Linked DNA regions of Cricetulus griseus. The main gene of each other region encodes a partner of the protein of the gene in region 4 in a complex. Links are inferred from orthologs where the notes say so. Each region holds a gene or a part of one and is shown on either strand. Other genes may lie near its edges.

Evidence for each region.
Region 1: the proteins of Nme5 (region 4) and Dydc2 are in contact, whole or in part, in a cryo-EM structure (PDB 8X2U), measured with the Mus musculus proteins. The link is inferred for Cricetulus griseus from reciprocal best matches to the Homo sapiens genes NME5 and DYDC2. Residues at the interface, in NP_542368.2 of Mus musculus: Arg140, Ala145, Val146, Ile147, Ile151, Pro152, Ala156, Ala157, Tyr160, Ile161, Tyr164, Val165, Thr168, Leu169, Leu173, Leu176, Cys177, Lys180, Pro181, Asp183, Pro184, Tyr185, Leu186, Leu188, Ala189, Asp190, Leu192, Met193, Asn196, Pro197; in NP_001347537.1 of Mus musculus: Asp2, Tyr5, Leu6, Cys9, Phe10, Gly13, Leu14, Leu18, Val21, Ala22, Arg23, Val24, Arg25, Pro26, Asp28, Pro29, Ile30, Glu31, Leu33, Ala34, His35, Leu37, Tyr38, Tyr40, Arg41.
Region 2: the proteins of Nme5 (region 4) and Dnajb13 are in contact, whole or in part, in a cryo-EM structure (PDB 8WZB), measured with the Mus musculus proteins. The link is inferred for Cricetulus griseus from reciprocal best matches to the Homo sapiens genes NME5 and DNAJB13. Residues at the interface, in NP_542368.2 of Mus musculus: Glu52, His53, Asn56, Met193, Lys199, Pro200, Lys201, Leu202, Cys203, His204, Phe205; in NP_705755.2 of Mus musculus: Thr156, Lys157, Lys158, Thr181, Ile182, Asp183, Arg185, Trp188, Arg189, Gly191, Thr192, Arg193, Ile194, Thr195, Phe196, Glu197, Pro281.
Region 3: Nme5 (region 4) and Lrrc23 share a complex: the UniProt entries of both Homo sapiens proteins name them as parts of the axonemal radial spoke complex. The link is inferred for Cricetulus griseus from reciprocal best matches to the Homo sapiens genes NME5 and LRRC23.
Region 5: Nme5 (region 4) and Dydc1 share a complex: the UniProt entries of both Homo sapiens proteins name them as parts of the axonemal radial spoke complex. The link is inferred for Cricetulus griseus from reciprocal best matches to the Homo sapiens genes NME5 and DYDC1.
Region 6: Nme5 (region 4) and Ropn1l share a complex: the UniProt entries of both Homo sapiens proteins name them as parts of the axonemal radial spoke complex. The link is inferred for Cricetulus griseus from reciprocal best matches to the Homo sapiens genes NME5 and ROPN1L.

What each region holds. Positions count from the first base shown.
Region 1 is NW_023276807.1:179,057,807-179,061,947, forward strand, and holds the start of Dydc2 (DPY30 domain-containing protein 2), read left to right. Parts: upstream 1-1,341; coding exon 1,342-1,488; intron 1,489-1,819; coding exon 1,820-1,942; intron 1,943-4,141.
Region 2 is NC_048596.1:99,008,789-99,012,288, reverse strand, and holds part of Dnajb13 (dnaJ homolog subfamily B member 13), read right to left. Parts: intron 3,336-3,500; coding exon 3,048-3,335; intron 533-3,047; coding exon 375-532; intron 1-374. UniProt on the Homo sapiens protein: Functions as part of axonemal radial spoke complexes that play an important part in the motility of sperm and cilia.
Region 3 is NC_048601.1:21,631,610-21,634,730, reverse strand, and holds part of Lrrc23 (leucine-rich repeat-containing protein 23), read right to left. Parts: intron 2,927-3,121; coding exon 2,796-2,926; intron 496-2,795; coding exon 359-495; intron 1-358. UniProt on the Homo sapiens protein: Essential for sperm motility and male fertility. Plays an important role in the proper assembly of the third radial spoke (RS3) head and the bridge structure between RS2 and RS3 in the sperm flagella.
Region 4 is NC_048595.1:202,906,802-202,911,045, reverse strand, and holds the start of Nme5 (nucleoside diphosphate kinase homolog 5), read right to left. Parts: upstream 2,801-4,244; coding exon 2,672-2,800; intron 1-2,671. UniProt on the Homo sapiens protein: Functions as part of axonemal radial spoke complexes that play an important part in the motility of sperm and cilia. Does not seem to have nucleoside diphosphate kinase (NDPK) activity.
Region 5 is NW_023276807.1:179,038,073-179,041,572, reverse strand, and holds part of Dydc1 (DPY30 domain-containing protein 1), read left to right. Parts: intron 1-1,174; coding exon 1,175-1,192; intron 1,193-2,486; coding exon 2,487-2,532; intron 2,533-3,147; coding exon 3,148-3,252; intron 3,253-3,500. UniProt on the Homo sapiens protein: Functions as part of axonemal radial spoke complexes that play an important part in the motility of sperm and cilia. Plays a crucial role during acrosome biogenesis.
Region 6 is NC_048595.1:361,604,635-361,608,642, forward strand, and holds the start of Ropn1l (ropporin-1-like protein), read right to left. Parts: upstream 2,801-4,008; 5' UTR 2,060-2,800; coding exon 1,929-2,059; intron 1-1,928. UniProt on the Homo sapiens protein: Functions as part of axonemal radial spoke complexes that play an important part in the motility of sperm and cilia. Important for male fertility.

The DNA.
Region 1 (4,141 bases), on a different chromosome or scaffold from region 4:
TATTCATTGACAATTTCACACATCTAATCAATGCATTTTGATCATATCCAGTCCAAGTTCCTCCTCCCACATGCCTTCAATATAGTCCTTTCTTACCTTCTCTCCTCTCACTGTTTGACTAATAACCTACTGAGTCTAATTAGTGCTGCCTGTTGGAATGGTGGCTGGTTGTACTAATTTAATATTGTATAGGTAGCTATAGCTGCAGTGAATTCATGCCATGTCATATAATGAAGATAGCATTTCGCAGCACTCATTCTCACCCTCTAGCTCTTAAATGCTTTCCATCCCTCTTCTGTGATATTCCTTGAGCCTTGGGGTGGAGATTGATGCAGATGTCCCATTTAGGGTTGAACACTCAAGAGACACTATACTCAGCACTTTGGACCAGTTATGAGCTATATTAACCACTGTCCACTGCAGGGAGAGGCTTCTCTGCTGCCGCTAATTGATCCTCATGCCTCAGCCTCTTGAGGGCCAACATTAGGGACATGTGCCACCTTGACCCACTTCTTTTGATTTCTACAGAGGCTTATCTCTCAGAGTTGTCCCTGAGCCTTACAAAAGACTTAGGACTTTGACTTTTGAGTTGCTCTGGGACTGTTAAAGACTTTAGTGCCAGGCACAGTTGTACATGCCTGTAGTTCCATCACTCAGAGTATGGAGGCAAGAGGATAGCAAGTTCAAGGCCAGCTTAGGCCATACTACAGGAACCTGCCGCAAAAGACAAAACCCAAATCAACAACAAAAGACTTCAGTGACTCTTGAAGATATATCAAATATATTTTTCATGGTGAGGTAAGTACTCACCTTTGGGAGCCAGGGACAGAGTGTTGTGATTCATATCTTAAACATCCCCCCCAAAGTCATATACTGAAGGCTTTTTGGTGGGGCTATGGCAATATTGGGAAATGGCAGAGTCTGTAAGAGGTACAGCCTAGTGGAAGGAAGTTAGGTCATTGGGGTCACACCCTTGGAAAGGACTCTCTCTCTCTCTTTCTCATGTGTGGGGTAACAGTATGTGTCCCTCCCTTACTCTTTTCCTCCTTCCTTCCCTCCACTTCCTGAAGTGAGTTACTCTTACCCACCATGCCACCAGGTACCCTCTCTTACAATGTTTGCCCTCATTATAGGCCCAGAGTGATTGGGCCAAATGGCCATATAGCCAAAATAACTCTTTTCTCCTTTAGTTGATGGTCTCAAGCATTATGTCATTGTACTGGAAAACTACTATAATTGTGATTCAGAAATACTTCATATTTGTTAGAATGGATTCATTTTAAAAGATCTATAGCATTTGTAAACTAGAGCATTTGATTTGGTGTCTCCCAGGTCCCCAGCATGGAAACTGATTACCTGAAGAAATGCTTTGGAAACAGCCTGACCCAGGCATTGGCAGAGGTGGCAAGAGTGCGACCCAGTGACCCAATAGAGTACTTGGCTCTCTTGCTTTACCATTATGGGAATGTGAATAACGATAAAGAAAAGGTGTGCTTATATACTGGGCCTGACTAGGGAGGGTTTGGCTTGCTCAGAAAAGCTTGAAATCCAAGGCAGAGTCCCGAGCTTGCATGGAAAGTTTCTTGGCTCATCCACCTTGTGAAGACTGCTTAGTCTCCGCTACCTCTGATGTAGGACTCTGAGGGGGAAGAAGGGAGTCTAGCTTAGAGGGTTGTAGAGTTGGGTTTGGAGCTACTGGCTAGCTAACCCTTCTAAGAGGAAGAAGTTCAGTGGGTCTGGCAGGTCCAGGCCCATCTCAGGGGAGGGAGGGTTCCTGTTGAAGAGATGTAACCTGATTGTCTCTATCGTATTACTGCAGAAAAGGCAAGAGGAGCTACAGCTAAAGGAAGAGCATGACAGAGTCCTCAAGGAAGCAAATATGACCCAAATACTGAAACAAGAGGAAAATCAGATTCAACAGAACTGTGAGCAGTGTCAACAGGTAGGAAGGAAGAATGGAAAATTTAGCTCAACTGCTCTCAGGCAGGGCTTCCAAGAAATCCTGAAGGCACCTAGCACTGGACAAAGCACACCAAGGCTACCCTTGGTCTGCTTGTCCCTCACAGCTGAACTGGAGGCATAAGCCAGTCACATTGACATCTTGCCAATAAAATACTTGGCAATAGAAAAATGAAATGTAAAATGGCAAATTTATTTTAGATTTCAGAAAATGTTATTGATATGACTGGCTTTAAAAACTTCAGATTTTAAATACTTTTTTCTTTCAAATTCCTTGGAACCCTTTTAAACATTATTCTGTATTTTTCAGAAACCAAATATGCATAATATATGCTAATATGCATATATTTGATATAGTGTTCTACTTAGCATTTTATCCTTAAGTTATTATTATTTGTCAAACATCAGGCCTACCCTCTATGATATAATACAAACATCAGTTATCAACTCCAAGCAGTTCAAAGCAACTCTGTCTATCTTGGTTTGACAAGTAAAACTTTAGTCTCCCACAGTATTTTCTACAACTCCTAAAAATTGGGCCATTTTACATGTACCTGGTTAGAGAACTCTCTCAGCTGTAATATTGGGATTGACACAAGAAGTCTTCTTAATCATCAATATGTCCTTAATATCCTTAGTGAGGTCCAGCTTTGCTGTCCCAAAGCCAACTTTGTGCTTTAAAACACTGTGCTTGTTTTAATTTGATGCTAAGATGCTCAGCAATAATACACTCTTATAACCAATAGGCTTATTTGTAAGGCTGAATGTTTTGTCAATAAATTGAAAAGAAGACACACCAGATTAAGAAGTCTGGGTACATGGTAAGTTCAAGGCCAGCTGGACAAATAAAAATCCTAAAGAACTGAGACCATATCACTCAGTTTTGGAGATTCAGCTAGTATGTAGAAGTGCTAAATTCAATCCCTTAGACTGGAACAAGACAGAGAGAGAGAGTGAGACGGGGGGGGGGGGGGGGCGGGGGCGGGGAGTCACTACATAGCCCATACTGTGATCTTCTTGCCTCAGCCTCCCAAGTACTAGTTAGAATCACAAACTACCATACCCATCAGGAAATTAGTTTGATAGTACTTTTTAATAAGCCCATGAGGCCAATCTATGCACTCCAAGGTAGCTATGAATACGGGCAAATGTATTGCAATATATTTTTGTGTAACCCCATTGTATAGGTATGAAACTTGAACTTTGTAGTTGGCCATGTTTTGTAATATTAAAGGATGAACATTCATGAAAGGGATCTCGCCCTCCAGGGTTCATTTTTTGAACAACTGAGAAGGAAAAGATGAGGCACATTAAGCAAAGTCCTCATTACTTGTCTATTTCCCAAAACTGTTTGTGAATAGAAAGAAATATGGAAAGTAAGACACGACTCCCCATACCACTGTGTTTTATGCTGCATTACTGTAGAAAGCTTTGCTTACACTAACAGTGTGAATTAGCCCTTTGTATTCCACTCAGGTTTTTGCACTCTATGGCTAGGATTAGATAAACCAAAAGTATGCCATTCTTTTCCCAAGTGTGAGAGATCCTTGTAAGGGAAGGGGGGAAAGGGGAGCCAGTGATGCCCAAACTATGCAAGCTCTTTCTTTGGAAGGTGTTTATAGGCCAGTTATAGTCACAGACATTGATCCCCTTTGTTAGACGGAATGACAACAACCTGAGACTGAACCAAGCTGAATGGATCGCTTACCTGGCCTCCTGACTGATGTCAGTTAATGTCCAAATCAAATTGAAAAGATTAGGCAAAGAGGTGGGAAGACAGCAATAAGACAACTTGCAAGTTCTGGCTCCTGGATGACTTAGTGTGGATTTCAGATACTCGTGTGTCACTAGTAGAGGAAAACTTGGCCTGGGATACATTTGGCACTATTTCAGCTGGCCTGTGGTTTACTGGATACCTTACGCGCACTTTCTTGCAAGGTTTGTCCTTCATATCTTTTGTTTTTGCTTTTGTTTGATTAGGATTGTTTGGCTTGGGTTTGGGGGAAGTTTGTGTTTGTTTGCTTTGTTTTTGAAATTTTTAAAAAAGATTTATTTATTTTATTATTATGTATACAGTGTTCTGTCTGCATGTATGCCTGCAGGCCAAAAGAGGACACAGATCTCATTACAGATGGTTTTGAGCCACCATGTGGTTGCTGGGAATTGAACTCAGGACCTCTGG
Region 2 (3,500 bases), on a different chromosome or scaffold from region 4:
CTCCATGTCCACCCTGTGGCCATGCACACACTCCTTGGGATGTGGTCTGGAAATACCCTGGAATTGACTTCATTTCCAGGGAGACTCATCTCACTCCTACTCCTTTACTTTCCACAAGGGTGGGGCTGGACTGAGAAGGGGAGGATCCTGTCCCCATGAGGTGGCTGCAGAGGTGACTTCTGTACAAGAAGGGTGAATCTCCTCCATTATTCATTTCAAATTTCAGATTCTAGAGTTCTAAAATCTAAAATTACTGAGTTTCTTGGGCTAAGGTTTGATAGTTCCATCAGAAAGGATCGCTGAGTTGTGGGGAAGGGGAGGTGACAGGGAGCTTTGTAGGGTTAGATGGTGCATGCTAAGAGGAGCAAGCTTACCCTTCGGGAGATCTTAATCTTTTTGGTACAGCCAAAGAATAAGTCCTCCAGGGACAAATAGAGGTCTCGTTCAATTGGAGGGTCTTGTTTCTGGACTCCTCGGCCCCGAAGCCCCCCAAAGTTCAAATCTATATCATTTCCTTCTGCATCAAAAAATTCTAAAGGAGATAGGAAAATGAGTAACAGAATTGATGTCCAAAGACACAAATCAGACAGATGGCAGACAAAAAGACAGACAGACAGACAGACAGACAGACAGACAGACAGACACACACACAATCCTACGCTGTATTCCCTTGAACCTCTTCAGTGCCCAAGGTTCAGCTCATCATTCCCACCTCTCAGAGCCACAGAACAAGGAACCATTTGTTTCATTTCATTTGGTTTTAGCCTTGAACTCAAGGCAATCCTCCTGTTCCAATCTCCTGAATGATGGGACAACAGGTGTGAGCCACCACACTTGGCTTCAAGAAGCCTACCATTAGCTATTAGCTACAGACCAGTGAGCATCAGGCCTGCCAGGCCCCAGTGCTTCCTGGGACTCCCACTGAGCCAGGTGCTGGCAGCTCCTGCTTCGTGAACGAGCTAAGGCATCACTGTAAGTGGGAGACCCTGATAGTGCCGAGAAGACTCCATTCAGACAGAATGGGTCAGAACCACCTGTCCACTCTACTTCCCCAGGCCCTACTGGCCCCTCTCTGTCCACTCCCCCATGACTGTTCTAGACAAGCAGACTCAAGATCTCTGGGATGACATGAAGGACTTGGAGGTGGATGGCAACTGTGAGTGGTCACCAGCGTGCCTCAGTCTCCCTTCCTCACCCTCATCTACCTCTGCCTGCCCTCCATCCAAAGCCTGCCTGATGTCCTTGCCTTTAGCCTGGTGGCTGTAAGAGAGATACCTTCCAAGTCTGCTTGGAGTACTGTAATCCTTTAGAATTCAGTTTTTCAGTCTGTGGTATGGGGTAATGCTTGTCCTGCCTACACCATTAAGATGAACAGCTAAACCCTGGGAGAGCCTGCAGTGAATCAGGCTCTGTACTCAGCGACTTTCCTCTTTACTACTTCATTGCTGGAGAGGCCAACAGAATGCTCACAGCTCCATAGCTGGTTGAGTAATGGAGTTGGGACCTATACCACATGACCACTTGGCCACAGCCTTGGTCACTATGATATATTGCTAGCTGTGGGCCCTTTGTAGACTGTGGAGTGAGAGGGCCCTTTGTACTCTGGAGTCAGAGGTGGCTGTTATGTACCCTGCTTCAGGTGGTTAAGGCCATGGAATGAGTGTGTCAAGCTAGATGGTAAAGTGTTCATTAACAGTAGGAGATTTGTGCAGGGATTTAAGATGTGATGGCCGGTAGCCAGTGTCACGGCTCATCCAGTAAAGGCACTTGTCACCACCAGTGCCTGAGGTGGAAGGGGACAACTGACTCATGAGGGTGGTCCTCTGATTTACACACTCTAAATAAATTAGTGAAAGTTCTTTTTTAAAAAGAATCAAGGAAGTAGTTCCATGATAAAGTCTTCTCAACCTTCCTAATGCTGCGACCCTTTAATACAGTTCCTCATGTTGTGGGCATACCCCAACCATAAAATTACTTTCATTGCTGCTTTGTAACTATAATTTTGCTACTGTTATGAATTGTAATGTAAATATTTTTGAAGATAGAGGTTTGGCAAAGGCGAAGTGACCCACGGGTTGAGAACCACTGCTCTGACTATATAAGGCCCTGATTTCAATCCTCAGCACTGTAGAATATCTTTAAAGACAGAGGAGATTTCTGGAAGGACATGGGGGATGCTAACATAGAATGGCTGCATCAAGGAGAAGAAAGGAAATGGAGGGCTAGAATATTTTCAGTAAGTTCCATTTGAATTTCGGTGTTGTGGTTTACATGTGTGATCCCAGCACTTGGGAAGCTGGAGAATTTGAAGCCTGCCTGGGCTAAAGAGAGAGTTCCAGCCTCAGATAAAGAAATGAACAATTCTTTTTCTCTCCATGTACTGTGTTTATTTCTCAAAGAGATAAAACAAGGCTGGATGTGGTGACTCACACCTGTAATTCTAGCACTTGGGTAGCTAAACCAGGGTTGCCATGAGTTCAAAGCCAGCTAGACTACAAAATGAATTTGGAGCTACATGCACTACAGAATGAGACCAAACCTAGGAGGCTGCAGAGACGGCTCAGTGGTTAGAGCTCTCGAAGAGCTCTTGCAGAGAAGCCAGATTCAGTTCCCAGTACCCACATGACGACTTACGACCATCCCTGATTCTAGTTCCAGGGGATCTGATGCCTTATTCTGACCTCCTTGGGCACCAAGCACACACATGTGCACATTTCTACAGGCAAATAAAATAAACAAATCTAAAATTAAAAAAAGAAAGAAAACTGGGTGTGGTGGCACATGACTGTAATTCCAGCACTTGGGAGTCAGGGGATCAGGAGTTTAAGGTCATTCTAGGCTAAACAAAGAGTCCAAGGCTGGCCTGGGATACATATTTCAATAATAATAATAATAATAATAATAATAATAATAATAATAATAATAATTAATAATATAATAATAATAATACAGAACAAATAAAAAGCAGCCAAACATAACCATCAAGAAAGGTATTTTCTGTAGCTGTGTTCTTTACCAGTAAGCAAGGGGTAGGCTGGGATTCTTACCACTGAAGGGGTTGTCTCCCCCAAAAAACTCATGAAACACTTTATCAGGATTGCCATGGAAGACGTAGCCTGTTGTCCATGGAGTCTGGGATCCAAACTCCAGAGGAATCCCACCTTTCAGGCCTTCCTCGCCAAACTTGTCGTAGATGCCTCTCTTCACAGCTGTGGACACATGTGACCTTGAGGAGGGATCCGGGGTGTGTGTGACTGGAGAGGCTGGGGGGCAGTCAGAGAGCTCAGGACGGTGATGGGCAAGGATAGCTCTTGCAACCTGCTGCCTAGAAGTCTCTACAAGTTAGCATGTCAGAGTTATTCATCTATCCTATAGATTCTATAGGATGGCCAGACAGCCCAGAAAGCCAATGAGAAAAATTCTACTGGGATGGGCTTTTGGGAGGACCTAGGAGACTGAGGGTCAGGCACACACCTGGGTTTGGCCTAGTTCAGTCTTGG
Region 3 (3,121 bases), on a different chromosome or scaffold from region 4:
AGTTCAAGGCCAGAGAAACCCTGTACAAACCAAAAAAAGGGGGGGGGGAGAAAAAGAAGGAAAAAACAGGGACCATTTCTGATTCTTTTAGATGTTTCTAAAACACAGAGTAGGCCTCACTAAATACAGTATGTTCTTATTCATTATGGATTAAATTAACATAAGGACTCAGGGCTCCCAAGAAGATTGTGTTGCTCTCTGAAGTAAATGCCGAAGAAAGAGAGGAAAGCAGAGGGCAGGACTCGGAGAACAAGGTAAGGACCCAGCCGTGGGTTGCTGGGAGAGGACCACTGACTCAGAAGCTGCTCTTGGTGATGGGCAGATGCAAGGTGGGCCTTGGAGAGGACAAATCCCACACCTCAAGTTCAGGTACTGTAGTGACTTCATCTCCTTGGAGAAGCCGTCCAGAGTCTCGATCTGGTTGTCTCGGAGATGCAAGGTGGTCAGGTTGCTGAGGTTCTCCAGGCCTTCGATCTTCTTCAGCATGTTCTGAGCCTGCACCCAGCACACAATACATTGACTCAGAGGGGGAGCACAAAGAGGGACGTGGGAAAGGGTGATGAAGCAAAGAAGAAATCCAGGTAGAGAGGGGGGCATGGAGAAGGAGAGTAGGGGTACATAAGAGAGTGTGGTCGAGAGGATAAAGAAGTCCCAAACTAGGTATGGTGGCCCACCCCCCAAATCCTAGTATTCTGGAGGCAGAGGCAGGGAGATTGTAGCCTGGGCTACTTAGTGGGTCTCCAGGCATGCCTGGACTATAGTGTGACACCCTATTTCAAATACCACCCCCAAAAAACAGACAAAGAAGGAATCAGTAGGATTGCTGCATCAACCAAGCCTGACAACCTGATTCATTTGCCAGCACCCACCCAGTGGGAAGAGAACTAACGCCTGCAAGTCATCTTGGACTCCATCTGCATCTCCCTCATAAAGAAGTCACTGTAAAGTGATTTTTTTTTTCTGAGGCAGGGTTTCTCTGTGCTTTGGAGGCTATCCTGGAACTAGCTCTTGTAGACTAGTTCGAGTGGTCTTGAACTCAGACTGTAAATTAATTTTTAATTTAAAAAGAGAAAGAAATTTAAAGACTAGATTTCCCAGAATTACAAAAAATAGGATGATGATAAAAATAATATAAAAAATATGCTACTGGAAACTAGAAATGTATACTAGTTTCTGGGCTAGTTAGGCAGTTTGGTGGTAGCACACTCCTATAGTGTGTACAAAGGCACTGGTTTCAATCCCCAATACCAACAAAACAAAACAAAACAAAAACACACACAAAAAATAAAAGGAAAGGAAGGAAAGAAAAAAAGGTAGACATAGGAAAAGGAAAAGAAGAAAGAAGCTGCTACTACAACAAACGCTCAGCTGTGCTCTCTTGCAGCCCATCCCGCCAAGGCCATCTCTGATTACAGAAGGGCCGCTTGAACCTGCCCTTGGCCCAGGAGGCCCATTAGCTCATCGAGGAGTGGCTGTAGTACCAGTCCAGAAAGCAGCATGCCCAGCCTAAAGGGACAGACCCTTAGAGGCTGACACAACAGTGCACAGCTGTGACCCCAGCTACATAAGGAGTTCAGACCAGTGTAGACTATACAAGGAGACCCTGTCTCAAAAGTAAAGCAAACCTGGGGCCAAGGCAATGGCTCAGCAGTTAAGACCACCTGCTGCTGTTTCCGAAGACCCAGGTTCAGTTCCCAGCACCCACATGGCAGCTCACAACCACCTGTGACTCCAGTTCCAGGGACCTCACCTCCCTCCTGATCTCCAGTGACACCAGGCACACACATGCCACTACACAGACATGCATGCATACATACATACATATATACATACATAATATGGACAAAACACTCATAGACATAAAAGTAAATATTCTTTAAAAGTAAAGTAATAAGCCGGGTGTTGGTGGCGCATGCCTTTAATCCCAGCACTTGGGAGGCAGAGGCAGGCGGATCTCTGTGAGCTCGAGACCAGGCTGGTCTACAGAGAAAGTTCCAGGACAGCCAGAGCTACACAAAGAAACCCTGTGTCAAAAACAAAAACAAAACAAAACAAAACCAAAAGTATAGTTGATTATAATGGTCCATACTGGAATCCTGGCACTTAGGAGGTAGAGGCAGGAAGACCAGGAGGAGTTCAAGGTACTCCTCAACTACATAGTGATTTCAGGGCTATATAAGACCCTGTCTCTGGCCAGGTGGTGGTGGCACACGCCTTTAATCCCAGCACTCGGGAGACTGAGGAAGGTGGATCTCTGAGTTCCAGGCCAGCCTGGTCTATAGAGCAAGTTCCAGAACAGCTAAGACTACACAGAGAAACCCTGTCTTGACCCCAGCAACCTCCAAAGACTCTGTCTCAATAAATAAATAAATAAATAAATAAATAAATAAATAAATACTAAATAAACATTTAAGTGGCCTCCTTAGCCTGCTTTCCATACCTGAATAGCTCATTTTGCAACAGCCTGTATCAAAACATTTTCTCTGCATTTTCCACACAATGTAAATTGTAGTCCTGCTAGATTGGAAGCCTACCTTTCTTGCTCCCTCTCCCTTATTCCCTCCCTTTCACTCTAAGAGACAGAGTCTTATTCTGTAGTCTAGGCTGGTCTCTAACTCTCCGCCTCCCAAGTACTGGGAATATAAGCATAAGCCTGTGTTGTCTTAACATTTCCAGGGTATCAGACGCCGTGCAAGCACTCATCACCCTCATGGTGGTGAAGCTAGCGGCTGAGCCTGCTGGAAGCCAGGGCTGTGCTCCCTTTCTCTGCACCACCCTAGGGCCCAGTGTGCTACCAGGAAGAGATTCTTCAGCTTAGGAAGGTTGAGTCCCAGAGTGCTTTCTATCTGGTTCCCTCGAAGTTCCAGGGTGTGCAGGCTAGTCAGTCTTTCGGGATCCAGTCCAGTCACTTGGTGGATGCGGTTCCCTGCAGAAGAGGAGGGTATCAGACACTCAAAGGTCCAGTGGCAATGTTCAACGTTAGAAATCTTGCCCAACCCTCCATCCTCTCTCCCTCTAATGCAGGGTAGAAGGGGGGGGAGGAACAACCCCAGAATAGTCTCTTTGGAGCCCCAAGGCAAGTGGGCAGGAAGGTTTGTCTGTCTGTACTTTGAGAATGAAT
Region 4 (4,244 bases):
CCCACCCTTCTTTTGAAAAAACAAAACAAAAAACTTATAAAATTTAAAATTAAGCCCGGCATAATGGCACACTGTGTGCAATCCCAACACTAAGGAGCCAGCAGTAGCTACATAGTGAAATCTCCTCAGAAAACAAAACACAACAAGGTGATGAGCACCTTAGACCCAACTTGAATAAAGGAGAGGCAGGGTGTTCACTGTGTGCTGGAGGACATCCTGAACTAAATAGCAAGAGTCTCCTCTCTCTCTCTCTCTCTCTCTCTCTCTCTCTCTCTCTCTCTCTCTCTCTCTGTGTGTGTGTGTGTGTGTGTGTGTGTGTGTGTGTGTGTCTGTCTGTCTGTCTCTCTCTCTCTCTCTCTCTCTCTCTCTCTCTCTCTCTCTCTCAGGGTCTCATGTAGCCCAGGCTAGCCTCAAGCTCACTATGTAGCTGGGGATGACCTCTTTAAACTTGTGATCCTCTGGCCCCAATTCCCTGAATACTGAACTCCAGGTTGTATACTGTTCTGGCAATGGAAGCCATGGTTTCATAATTTCTTGGCAGGCATTCCCCCAGCTGAGCTGCATCCTCAGCCTGAGAACCTGGGTTTTTAAGTATCTTTGTTCCCCAATTGTTTGTTTAGGCACTTTTTCTTCTTGAAGAAGTTACAAACATAGTTTAATGTTTTTTTGTTAGGGGGGATTGAATCCGAAGCCTCATGCTTGTTAGGTCTGTGCTCTACCTCTAAGCCACACCCTAGCCCCACTTACAAGCTTAATTTTTAAATATTTAGATCCATTTAGAGTTATCTCAGAATAAAAATAGTCAATTTTCTTCACAACATTTATTAAAGACTTTGTGTTCATCTGAATATTTCTTGTACCAGAGTTGTCAACTCTGTCAACATTCTTCCCCACATCATCTCTGAGTGTGTTTGTGTGTGTGTGTATGTGTAGGATATGCATGTCTGTGTGTGTCTGTATATACACACATAAGTGGGGGTGCAGGTGCATATATGTGGAGCCAGATACCCACATTGGAGACTAGCCTCAGTTGCTGACCACCTTGGATCTCCCACTGAACCTGAATCACCAACTTGACAAGACTAGTGGGCTCAAGAGCTCCAGGGTCCTCCTGTCCTGCCTCCCCAGTACTGGGATTACCTACAGGTGTCCACCACCACACCTGCCTTTTACATGGTTACTGGGGATTCGAACTCAAGTCCTTGTGCTTGCTCAGCAAACACTGTGACACAAACCCCTCTCCAGTTCAGTTTTCTTTATTTTAAAATACTGGCAGAATTGATAATATGATGATAATCTGATACTATATAATTTTTGCTGTTGCTTTTTCGAGACAGGGTCTCACTATGTAGCTCTGATTGTCCTGGAACTCTGTAGAGCAGGCTAGCTTCAAATTCACAGAGATAAGCCTACCTCTGCCTCCCGAGTGCTGTGATTAAAGGCATGAACCATTACAGTTGGCTTTACATAAAAAACATTTACGATAGGGTCTCACTATGTAGCCCTGGCTGGCCAGAAACTTATTGTGTAGACCAGGCTGGCCTTGAACTCACAGACATACACCTGCTTCTGCCTCACAAGTGCTTGGAGTAAAAGCACCACACTAAGCTATATACATTTAAGAGATTAAAAAACCAGTAGTTCAAGTAAAATTTAACAAAATATTTAAAATGTTAAGTTTTATTTGATATATTTATACATTCTGTCTTCAGTTGGAGACCTTATCATACTAGAGGACAGTTTGAAACTCTGTGAAGGCCAAGATGGTAGGGAACTCCAGTCTTACCCTACCTATGGATGGTATCACAAGCTTACAGCAGCACCTCCAGGCCCTGGGTCCTCTGTACCCCTGGCTGGTTTAGGACTCCCTGTGTAATACAAGCTGACCACTCAATGTCCTCTGGAGGGCCTGGCACCATGACCATGTTTACAAACTGCAAGACAAATATTCATCTAAAACATTAAATGTTTTCTGGGCAGTGGTGGCCATACACACCTTTAATCCCAGCACTCAGGAGGCAGAAGCAGGAGCAAGTGGATCTCTGAGTCTGAGGCCAGCCTGGTCTACAGAGTGAGTTCCAGAACAGTCACAATCAGGGCTACTTAGAGAGACCCTGGTTTTTGGGTTTTGTTATTATTTCGTTTTTTTAAATAACCCTACGAACACTAGAGAACTTATCTATGCACAGGAATATTACACATAACTTAGAAGGGATAAGTAGATTCTGATTTATTGACCCAGAACTTTGCCAAAGAGACTCTGTGAGGAAGTCAGAGAGGATCACTTCATCTTGTGGGGAAAATCTTTCAAACACAGAGAAACCCCTGGGAGAAGTTAAGGGAAGGAAAAGGCAATTTGGCTTCTTTTGTGTATTATTCTGTATCTTTTGGAAGTGTGAAAAAATAAGCTATTACGTGTTACTTGTTTGTTTTGGGGACAGATCTCAGAGAGCTGTGGCTGATCTGTCAACTTTGAAGTCACTGCATAGCTGAACTCCTGATCCTCCTGCCTCCACCTCCCTGGTACGGAGAATACAGGCATGAGCCTATCTGTCCAGATTGCATACAACCTTTATATTTAGAAACGTAAATTCAATGTTACTACAGATATAAATGGGTGGGGACATTTATATAAGTATAGTGCAAACTAATAAGAGTCGCCAGAAGTTACCTGAATGATGGTGAATCCAGATCTGAGAATAATGTCGCGTATCTCATCTTCTTTGTCAACAACATCTGGCTTGATAATGGCTAGGGTTTTTTCTACATATATCTGAGGCAGGGGCATAGACACCTCCATTCTGGCGTTTCCCGGAATAGTTTACTAATTTCCTGACCGGGTATCCACTGCAATGACACGCGTCCTCGTCCCAAACAACCCGTGGTAATATTTGGTGCTGGGCTTGATTAATTTGTGAAAACAGAAACTGCCGTGTTTCCCGACAAGCAGTCCTGCAAGAATATGACTTGTTCAGAGCCCAAGTTGAGCCCTGGCCGCCTCACTGCGGCATCAGTGCCGCTCTCCAGGGGTAGGGGAAGGCCCTAGCCCGCTGCCCTAGCGAAGGGTCCCCACCCCTCGGCGACCACTTTGTACAGTCCTAGGAGTGACCGCAAGGCAGAGTCCCCAAGTCCTTAGGAAATCTCCAGGCCGAACCCTCCCAGTTCTCATCTCCGTTCAGGTGTTGTCAAAACCTGTTGCTAAGAGACCTGAAGCTGGTTTTCCAACGGTGGCTGCAAAGGGCCAATCCCAGCAGCGTATTTTCAGTCTCTATTTTAATCTAGGGTAGCAATTAGCCGTGAGGATTTTATTCTTTTTGAGTCTTAGAGTACTAGACATATTTCTAACGTTTTTCCCATAATTTTAAAAACAACTTTGTTTATTATGTGGTGATGGAGTGTGTGTGTGTGTGTGTGTGTGTGTGTGTGTGTGTGTGTGTGTGTGTGATGTGGATTTAAGAAAACAACTTCGTGTGTAGCCAAATCTTTCCGGGTCTATGGTTTCCAGGAATGAACCTCATGTGGTCGGGCTTGCATGCAAGCCTCTTTATCCACTGAGCCCTAGAGTCAGCCCTTCTCAAATTGATCTACACTTTGTAAATAAGACAAATCAGACACTTCTTTCAGCCCACTCCATTCCCTCCCAGACACTGTATGAAAGATAAATGTCAAGTTTATTTATTCTTGATATACTTTCTCTTCCTTCCTTCCTTCCTTCCTTCTTTTCTTTTCTTTTTTTCAAGACTGGGTTTCTCTGTGTAGCTTTGAAACTTGTTCTGGCACTCACTCTGTAGACTGGCCTGGAACTCACATCGATCCTTCTGCCTCCCAAGTGCTGGGATTAAAAGTGTGCGCCACCACTACCTGGCTCATTCCTTTTCCTTTTCCTTTTCTTTCTTTTTTTCTTTTTGTGGTGGTGGTGTGGTGGTGTGGTGGTGGTGGTGTGGTGGTGGTGATGGTGGTGGTGGTGGCGGTGGTGGTGGTGTTGTTCAAACTCAGGGCCCATGCTTGCTGAGTGCTCAGTCACTGAGCAACATTCCAGCATATTCCTTCTTTGTTTCATTCACCACCTGATGCTGTCCCCTTCAGTTGCAGCTCTTTAATCATTTAAAACTGTCTTTATAAGGTCAGTGGCACATATCTCTAATCCCAGCACTCCTTTGGAGATAGATTTCCAGGAAAGCCTGGCTGCCTCAAAAAAAAAAAAAAAAAAAAAAAAAAAAAAAAGAAAAAGGAAAGCAAAAATC
Region 5 (3,500 bases), on a different chromosome or scaffold from region 4:
TTATTAGTGTGGCCATATGGACAGTCACAAGCTGAGTAATCTTCCAATTGCCAAAATGCCTCATCCCAGTATGAGTCATGTGACTTTTTTTGCACCGTCCTACTGATGAAAAAATGGAGGTCATAGTAGGTTGGCTTGGTTAGAAGAACCTTCTCATTGAAGAGTGGCTTTTCATGTCAGGCTGAACATTTCCCCTGCAGCATATGAGTGTTGCTAAGGACCTCTGGAGAACACTTGGGCATTGGACAGTAACTTGGACATGGTGAATTCATTTAGGAATGTGGACTCATTTTTTTCCTGTATATAAAGCCCAAACTCAACCTCTGTTTAAAAATCTCTTAATCTAAGACATTAATGTTGTTGCTTTACATAGTTGCTAGAACTTTTGCTTCAATTATAACATTTCATTCAGCCCATTTTTAAAATTCCTAATATTTTTATTCAGTCTTAGAAAATTGCATACAATGTATGTTTTATATATTTTCTTTTTTATTTTTGAGATCATAATGTAATTATATCATTTCTCTATTTCCTTTCCTCCCACTAAACCCTCCAATATACCTCTTCTTGCTCTCTTTCAAATTTATAGCACCCTTTTCATTAATTTTTGTTACACACACACACACACACACACACACACACACACACACACACATATATATTCCAAAACAAAACCTGCCATGTCTGTATAATGCTACTTTTGTGTACGTTTTCAGGGCTGACCATTTGGCATCAGACAACCAATTAGTGTGCTTTTCCCTGGGGGAGACAGTTTCTCCCACTCTTAGCATTCTTTGGGTGCCTGTAGTTTTCATGCAGGGTTGAAGTCTCATGGGCTTTCCCCTGGCCACTTTGACATGTCTATTATTGTCCTTGGCCAGCTCATGTGTATGCAGCCATATTGGGAGACTTTATGGATATAGCTTCTGCCGCTATAGCCCCCTACTCTCTGGTTCTTACAATCTTTCCACCCACTTCCATGTCCCCTGAGCCTTAGGTGCATGACTTGTTTTGTAGATGTATACACTGGAACTGGACCCCACAACTCTGCATTTTAATTGTATTTGAATGCAATTTGAATGCAGTTTTATTTTAATTGAATGCTATTTTAATGTGGTTTAAATTTAATTTAATGTGGTTTTCTGTAATGGTCTCTGTCTGTTATTGCAAAGAGAAGTTTCCTTAATGTGGTGTGAAGACTACATTTGTCTATGGGTTGAAGGACAAATGTTTCGAGTGTTGTTAGGGATTATGCTGGCTTAGTAAAGTGGTTCTAAGTTCTTCTTCAAGATCTGTGAACTTGCCTGACCTGAGTAGTTAGCTAGGTTTCCAGTTACCAAGCAGGATGCCACTCTTGTTAAACCAGTAAGGCATGTGTGTTACTACTGCACTCTTAAGGTTATTGTGCCATGCTGGGCTTGTGGTTCATGGACATCACAACTGGCTAGGACAGTTGGTTGCTTCTTTCCTTTTGAAGCTCTCATGGCACCTTCTGGTATCACAAAAGCTTGTCCCCAGGGAAAAAGGTACTCAGGTCAGTTTCAGCTCAGGGCTCTGTGTCTGAACTGCATCATGATGCCTTCAGCAATTGAGATTTACCCTTTGAAGGGACCAGCTTCCCTTTTGGCAGCCATAATGACCAAACATGTGCTCTATGACCTTGTCTTAGTCACTAGAAAGTAAGATGCCTGCCTTGTGACAAGGAAACAATCAGAAGTTAGTCACTAGAAAGTCAGATGCCTGCCTCGTGACAAGGAGCCAATCAGAAGTTAGCTGGTGGCACTATGCTTTACGACCCTGGGTGTGCTTTACGGACAAGCGCACAGCAATGACACACAAAGCATAGCAACCACCCTGGGAGGGCCTATGGGCCATAACAACCAGTTGACCAATCAACACAGGGCAAACCCTCCAAGCCTGGAGGCACGCCAATCCTGAGCCTGTGCATACCCCTAGACACTCCCCTTATGCTGCCCTATAAAGATCTTTGTGCAGCGGCTTCGAACTGTCTTTGCTAGCCATCCGCCATGGTAGGTGGGTCAAAGGCCCGAGCTAACATGGGGTTAGCTCATTAAACTACAATAAAGCCTCATGCAATTTGCATCAAGCTTTCGCCTCCATTCTGTGATTGGGGTGGCCGCAGTCCTGGGCTAAGATTCTGGAAGCATCAGCTTTTCGAGGGTCTTACACCTTCACCTCTGGTCAGCCTCATTTTTGAAAGAATTTTATTTAATTATGAACCATTATCTCTTATTAGTATATAGTAAATGAAACTGTGATCCTTTTGTGTGTGTGTGTGTGTGTGTGTGTGTGTGTGTGCGTGTGTGTGCCCTGTATTCTGATTACTCTGATTACTCCTTGGAAAGTGACATGGATTTTGCTGTTAAACTGATCATAGCACTTTATAAAAATAAAAATTCTTAAAATCTAAACATGAAATAGAAACAAACAATATTCAGTGTTTTCTTAATTTTTTCTTAGGAGAGAAGCACAGAAAGTGGGGCTAAGGGTGATGAGTCCCTACAGCAAGAGGTGAGAAGGAATAGCTACTGTGTGTTATGTGAAATGAGTACAGTTTAAGAGTAGAAACCTAAGTTTTAAATATCAGTGGCTAAAGTTTTAATAAGAACATTGTCAAAAGTGCTGGTCCAGGATGGATATGGTAGGGCACACACAGGATCACAGTGCCTGAGGCTTGGTTGTTGTGATTCCTGGCACACCTAAAGCTACATAGTGAGACCCTGTTTTAACAAACAAAAGCAAAGTCAAAAGCCCTATAACAGTGATAGTCCAAATTAGTATTCTAATGGTAAGTCACAGCTGTGTGGTGCTTTGAAATAAACCTCAAAGTGGATAAAATTTGAACATGAAATATGTACTTGTATATTTTGAAGATACAATGTCCTGTTATATTGCACATAGAATTACTTACAAGTGCATTTTGAAATTCCAAATGCATTTAAAGATAATTTTTAGTGCTTCTTACTAGATAGAATTCTGGTATCATTAAAAGCCATTGATGAATTCTACTACTTAACAATGTTGATTTTGTGTGCTTAATTCAGAAATTTTATATCAAATTGCCAGAAAAATAACAGGTTCATTTTGAAGACATGCAAAAGTAAAAACTGACTTTTATGACTGTAGGACTCAATGATGGACTCAGGCAAAACCCTAGCTGAAATCAGTGATCGCTACGGAGCACCTAACTTGAGCAGAGTGGAAGAGCTTGAAGAGCCATTGTTATCTGATGTGAGTATCAAAATGTGTTGTCGCAGAAGTTTTCATGTTGATAAAGTCTGGTGTATATGACTTTATCAATATATAATATTTTAAATATATTTAATGAATATTAAACTTAATATATTTATCTAAATATATTAAATATATAATATTTATAATACACGGAATACTTTTCCTTCATGCAAAGAAGACCAAATGTGTAGGTGTTAACCAATTTTTAAAAATTTTACTTTTATGTTATGTGTATGAGTATTTTG
Region 6 (4,008 bases), about 160 Mb from region 4:
GATGTCCTTGGAGTCCACGGGTGCCAGATGGCCTGTAGCTGGAGCTACACACCATTTGAGCTGTGTGACATGGGCACTAGAAGTTTAACTCAGGTCCTTTGGAAAAGCAAGCAAATACTCAATGTTGTTTATTCATCTCTCTGGGGCCCCCACACCTAAGGCAACTCATGTTTTGACAGCTGCTTTCTAAGGTATTTGACACTAAACACCGAGGCATACAGAGATCACCTACTTTCCATTTTCCATTCCCCCTCCTCTCCCCCAATCTGGCCAGGTACTTCCCCCTTAATTGTTCCTTTCAAGGACACTGAAAATTCTTAGGTTAAAGGCAAACATAGAAATGGCTCCTCGAGGCAACAATTCAAGAGTGGACTCACATCAGGTTTGGCCAGAAGAGCAGCAGTTGTGTGTCAGGCAGCATCTGGGGCTACAGTTGTGAACCAAACCAAAGAACTTGTGTTGGGGGGGGGGGCAGCACATGAAATTAAGCAGCAGGGCAACAGGTATGTCACCACAAACATTCTAAACCTGTAACATGGGTGGATGTGGACAGTGGAGACAGTAGACCAAAAGAAACCCTCTCCCCTCTCCCCTCACCCCTTAGGGTCAACTCCGCCTACACATTAAGACTTGTGCTCCTCTGAGGAGGGCTGAGGGCAGAAATGAGAGAAATGCAGAACTCTGGCCCTAAATGGCTAAAGGCTAAAGGTTATAGTTGTTCTTCACCACCAATCAAAGGAACCTGAAGTCCTTGAGCAAGCCCTTCATGTCAGCAAGTGTTATCAAATGGGCCAGGGTGGGGGCAGAGGCTTGGACTGCTATACATAAACTTTTATTAAAAAACAAACAAACAAACAAACAAACAAAAACCCTAGTCTTCCTAAGGCTCCCACCATGCTTAAAGCCAGGGACCATAATATTGCATAGGGGAAGTTTAGAGAACAGATAAAGGGTGGTGACCCTGATGGAGTATGTCCAGACCCTGTTCCCTGGAAACTGCACACGGTACTCTACATGGCAAGTGCCTTCGCACAATTAAGGACTTTAGATGGGGAAATTATCCTGAACAAACTGGATGGCTCCCAAAAGTATCACAGGGATCCTCAGGAGAGGGAGAACCCGTAGATGTAGAAGGGCCATTAGAACGCAGCACTGATAAGCAGCTGGTCTCCCCAAAGCCATCCCAATGGCCTGTTGCCAGTGTCAACTGATTTGGGGCATCTCACCTCCAGAACTGTAAAGATAAATGTCTGTTGTTTTAAAGCAAGTCAAATCGTTAAAACAGAAAAGAAACGAAGCCGCTTTAGCTATATAGTTCAGAGAAAGTGACATTTGGCTAAAGATACTTCATTCTCGTGGTTTAAAAAGTGGCAAAGAGCCGGGCGTTGGTGGCACACACCTTTAATCCCAGCACTTGGAGGCAGAGGCAGGCGGATCTCTGTGAGTTCGAGGCCAGCCTGGTCTCCAGAGCGAGTGCCAGGAGAGGCTCCAAAGCTATACAGAGAAACCCTGTCTCGAAAAAAAACAAAAAACAAAAAACAAAAACAACAAAAAAGTGGCAAAGAGCTCTCTTGTAAAACCAAAAGGACGAGTGGCTAAGATTATAATGGTATGGTCCGGGAGAGGGCTCATGTTTTTCCATGTTCATGTGTGAAGGTTTTCAGGCTGTGAGCCGAGCTCTCCAGTTTTCCTGGATGACAGCCTTTGCATCCTTGAACCCAAGGAGGAGGAGGCGCGAGCTCATTGTTCTAGGCGGCTACATTTGTAAGCGTCCCTGTGACTGATTTTTTTTTCTTTCTTTTTTTTTTTTTTTAACTCAGTGGGGTCACTTATTTATTTATTTTCCCACGGTTGTCCTGTAAGCTTTAGTCTACAACCACAGCTCAGGCGTCTGAACCGGGTGAGGCTCCCGGCCTGCGCGCGCTTACCCCGCCGACCACTGCAGCACGTCCACCGGCTGCGTGCGGATGGCAGCCTTGGTGAACTGCTTCAGGATGTCGGGCAGCTCCGGGGGGATGTGAATCTGCTGCGCGCAGAACATTGTGTCGGGCAGCGGCATGGCTCAGGGCAGAGCGCGGCGGCCCGCGACGATCCGATCCGGTGGGCTGCGGGGAGGGGAGACAGGGGTCAGCGGGGGTCAGCGCAGCGGCGGGTCTCCGCTTCTTGCCGGCTCCTTTGCCCGCTCCTGGGGAACTGAGGCCCAACCGCCCTCAGCTCCAGAGCGTGCGCGCGATTGTGGCGTGCGGTATCCAAGGCAACCCGAGCTGCGCAGGCGCGAACAGCCTCAGCGAGCTAAGGGCGACCCGGGCCCTGATCGCGTGACCAGTGACTTACCCGGCCCAGGGGAAAGGGCTGGATATGGGCTTGTTTTCCAGTCTGGACCTCCAAGAGGTCCCCAGCTGTCTTCTGATGAGAACAGGGCCTTGGCCTTGCGCCTCTGCCGCCCCCATAGGCATACACATTTCCAAACCAAAGCGGCTTTGACAAAATGGTTCTCAGACACTGTGGACCCAAGTGCTCACCTATCTGGGGACCACAGAATTTTCTGATGCCTTAGCTATGTTACTAATATGGCTAATCTAAATTATTTATTCTACGGAAAAGCTTAAACGTGGGTATAAAGAGTAAATACTGTCCCTTATCTAGTTAAGGAGGGTCACTTTTACTAACACCTAAATCATGGTCTCTATTCAAAGGATGCAACATTGAAAGACACCCCCCCCCACCCGGGCTGTAGCCTTTCTACTCTGGTCGGCAGCTGGCGGGGCGCGCGAATACATCCTTCCCTCCTTAGCACTCTCCCTCCTTAGCACCCTCCCCGACCTTTTGATCTCTGCAGCTGCTGGCCCTCACTCCCCGCCCCACGCAAGGCCAACCCCCGCCGGATAGCTCCGTCCCAAGGCCAGCCATCTGGACAGGCAGGAGATAAGGCCATTTCGCCTGGCTATTAAACCTTGAGAAAATGCTGATTTGATGCTTTTCGCTTCTGTACTATGCCTGTTTTCCCTTATAAAAAGGACCCTCCTTCCGGGGCTCGGGGCTTGGCAAAACAGAAGCTAAGCCCCGGATATCCGTGTTATTAATAAATCCTCTTGTTCTTACATCCAAAGTTCGTGGTTTCGCTGATTCCTGGGTGTGGGTCTTCTTCCACGAAAGAACCTCTCCGGGGGTCTTTCAACATGATGTAGGTAAAATCGACCTCCTTAAAGCTGGATGACGGGGACTGACTGGCACACAGCGTCGTTTCAGTGGAGCAAGGCTGCCGTTCTTTGGACCAGAGTTGGGAGACCAGCCTGGACAACACTTAATTTCACTAAGTAACCAATTCTGACCCTGCCCCACACTGCCACCACATGACCCCCGTAAAGCGAGAAATACCATAGAACAATCCGAGTGCCGAGACGCTTGCTCTTTATTTTTAAATTTTGAGTTTTTTTTTGAGACAGGGATTCTCTTGTGTAGCCCTGGCTTTCCCGGAACTCACTCTGTAGACCAGACTGGCCTTGAACTCACAAAGATCCTCCTGCCTCTGCCTCCCAAGTGCTGGGATTAAAGGTGTGCACCACCACTGCCGAGCTTGTCCTTTTTATTCTTAGAGAAGTCTCTCGGAGATTTAAATTTTGACTTTTTCTCTCCTTAAATAAACTGAATCTTAAAAAATGTGTGCCTAACCCACTACTGAGCTTCAAAAAAAAAGGTTTGCCTCCATAAGGCTTTAAGTTAGGGCTAATTCGTTTTGCCTCTAATTAGTACTTATCTGTGGTATTAATTAGCTTTTTAGTCTGCAACAACCATCCAGGTCTTCAGTTTTTCAACATCTGCACCCTTGTGAAGAAACCACTGTCCACATATGGGAGTGTCTGCTTTAGCAGACCCACAGACAGCTGCAAGGAACTGGCCTCCTAAGCAAAGGACAAGTGTGTGGCTCCTGAGGAAGCCGCTCCTCCTCCAAGAGTGTCCCAAATAACCAATAAATGGCAAGCAGAAACTTGGACAAAGGGGAAAAGT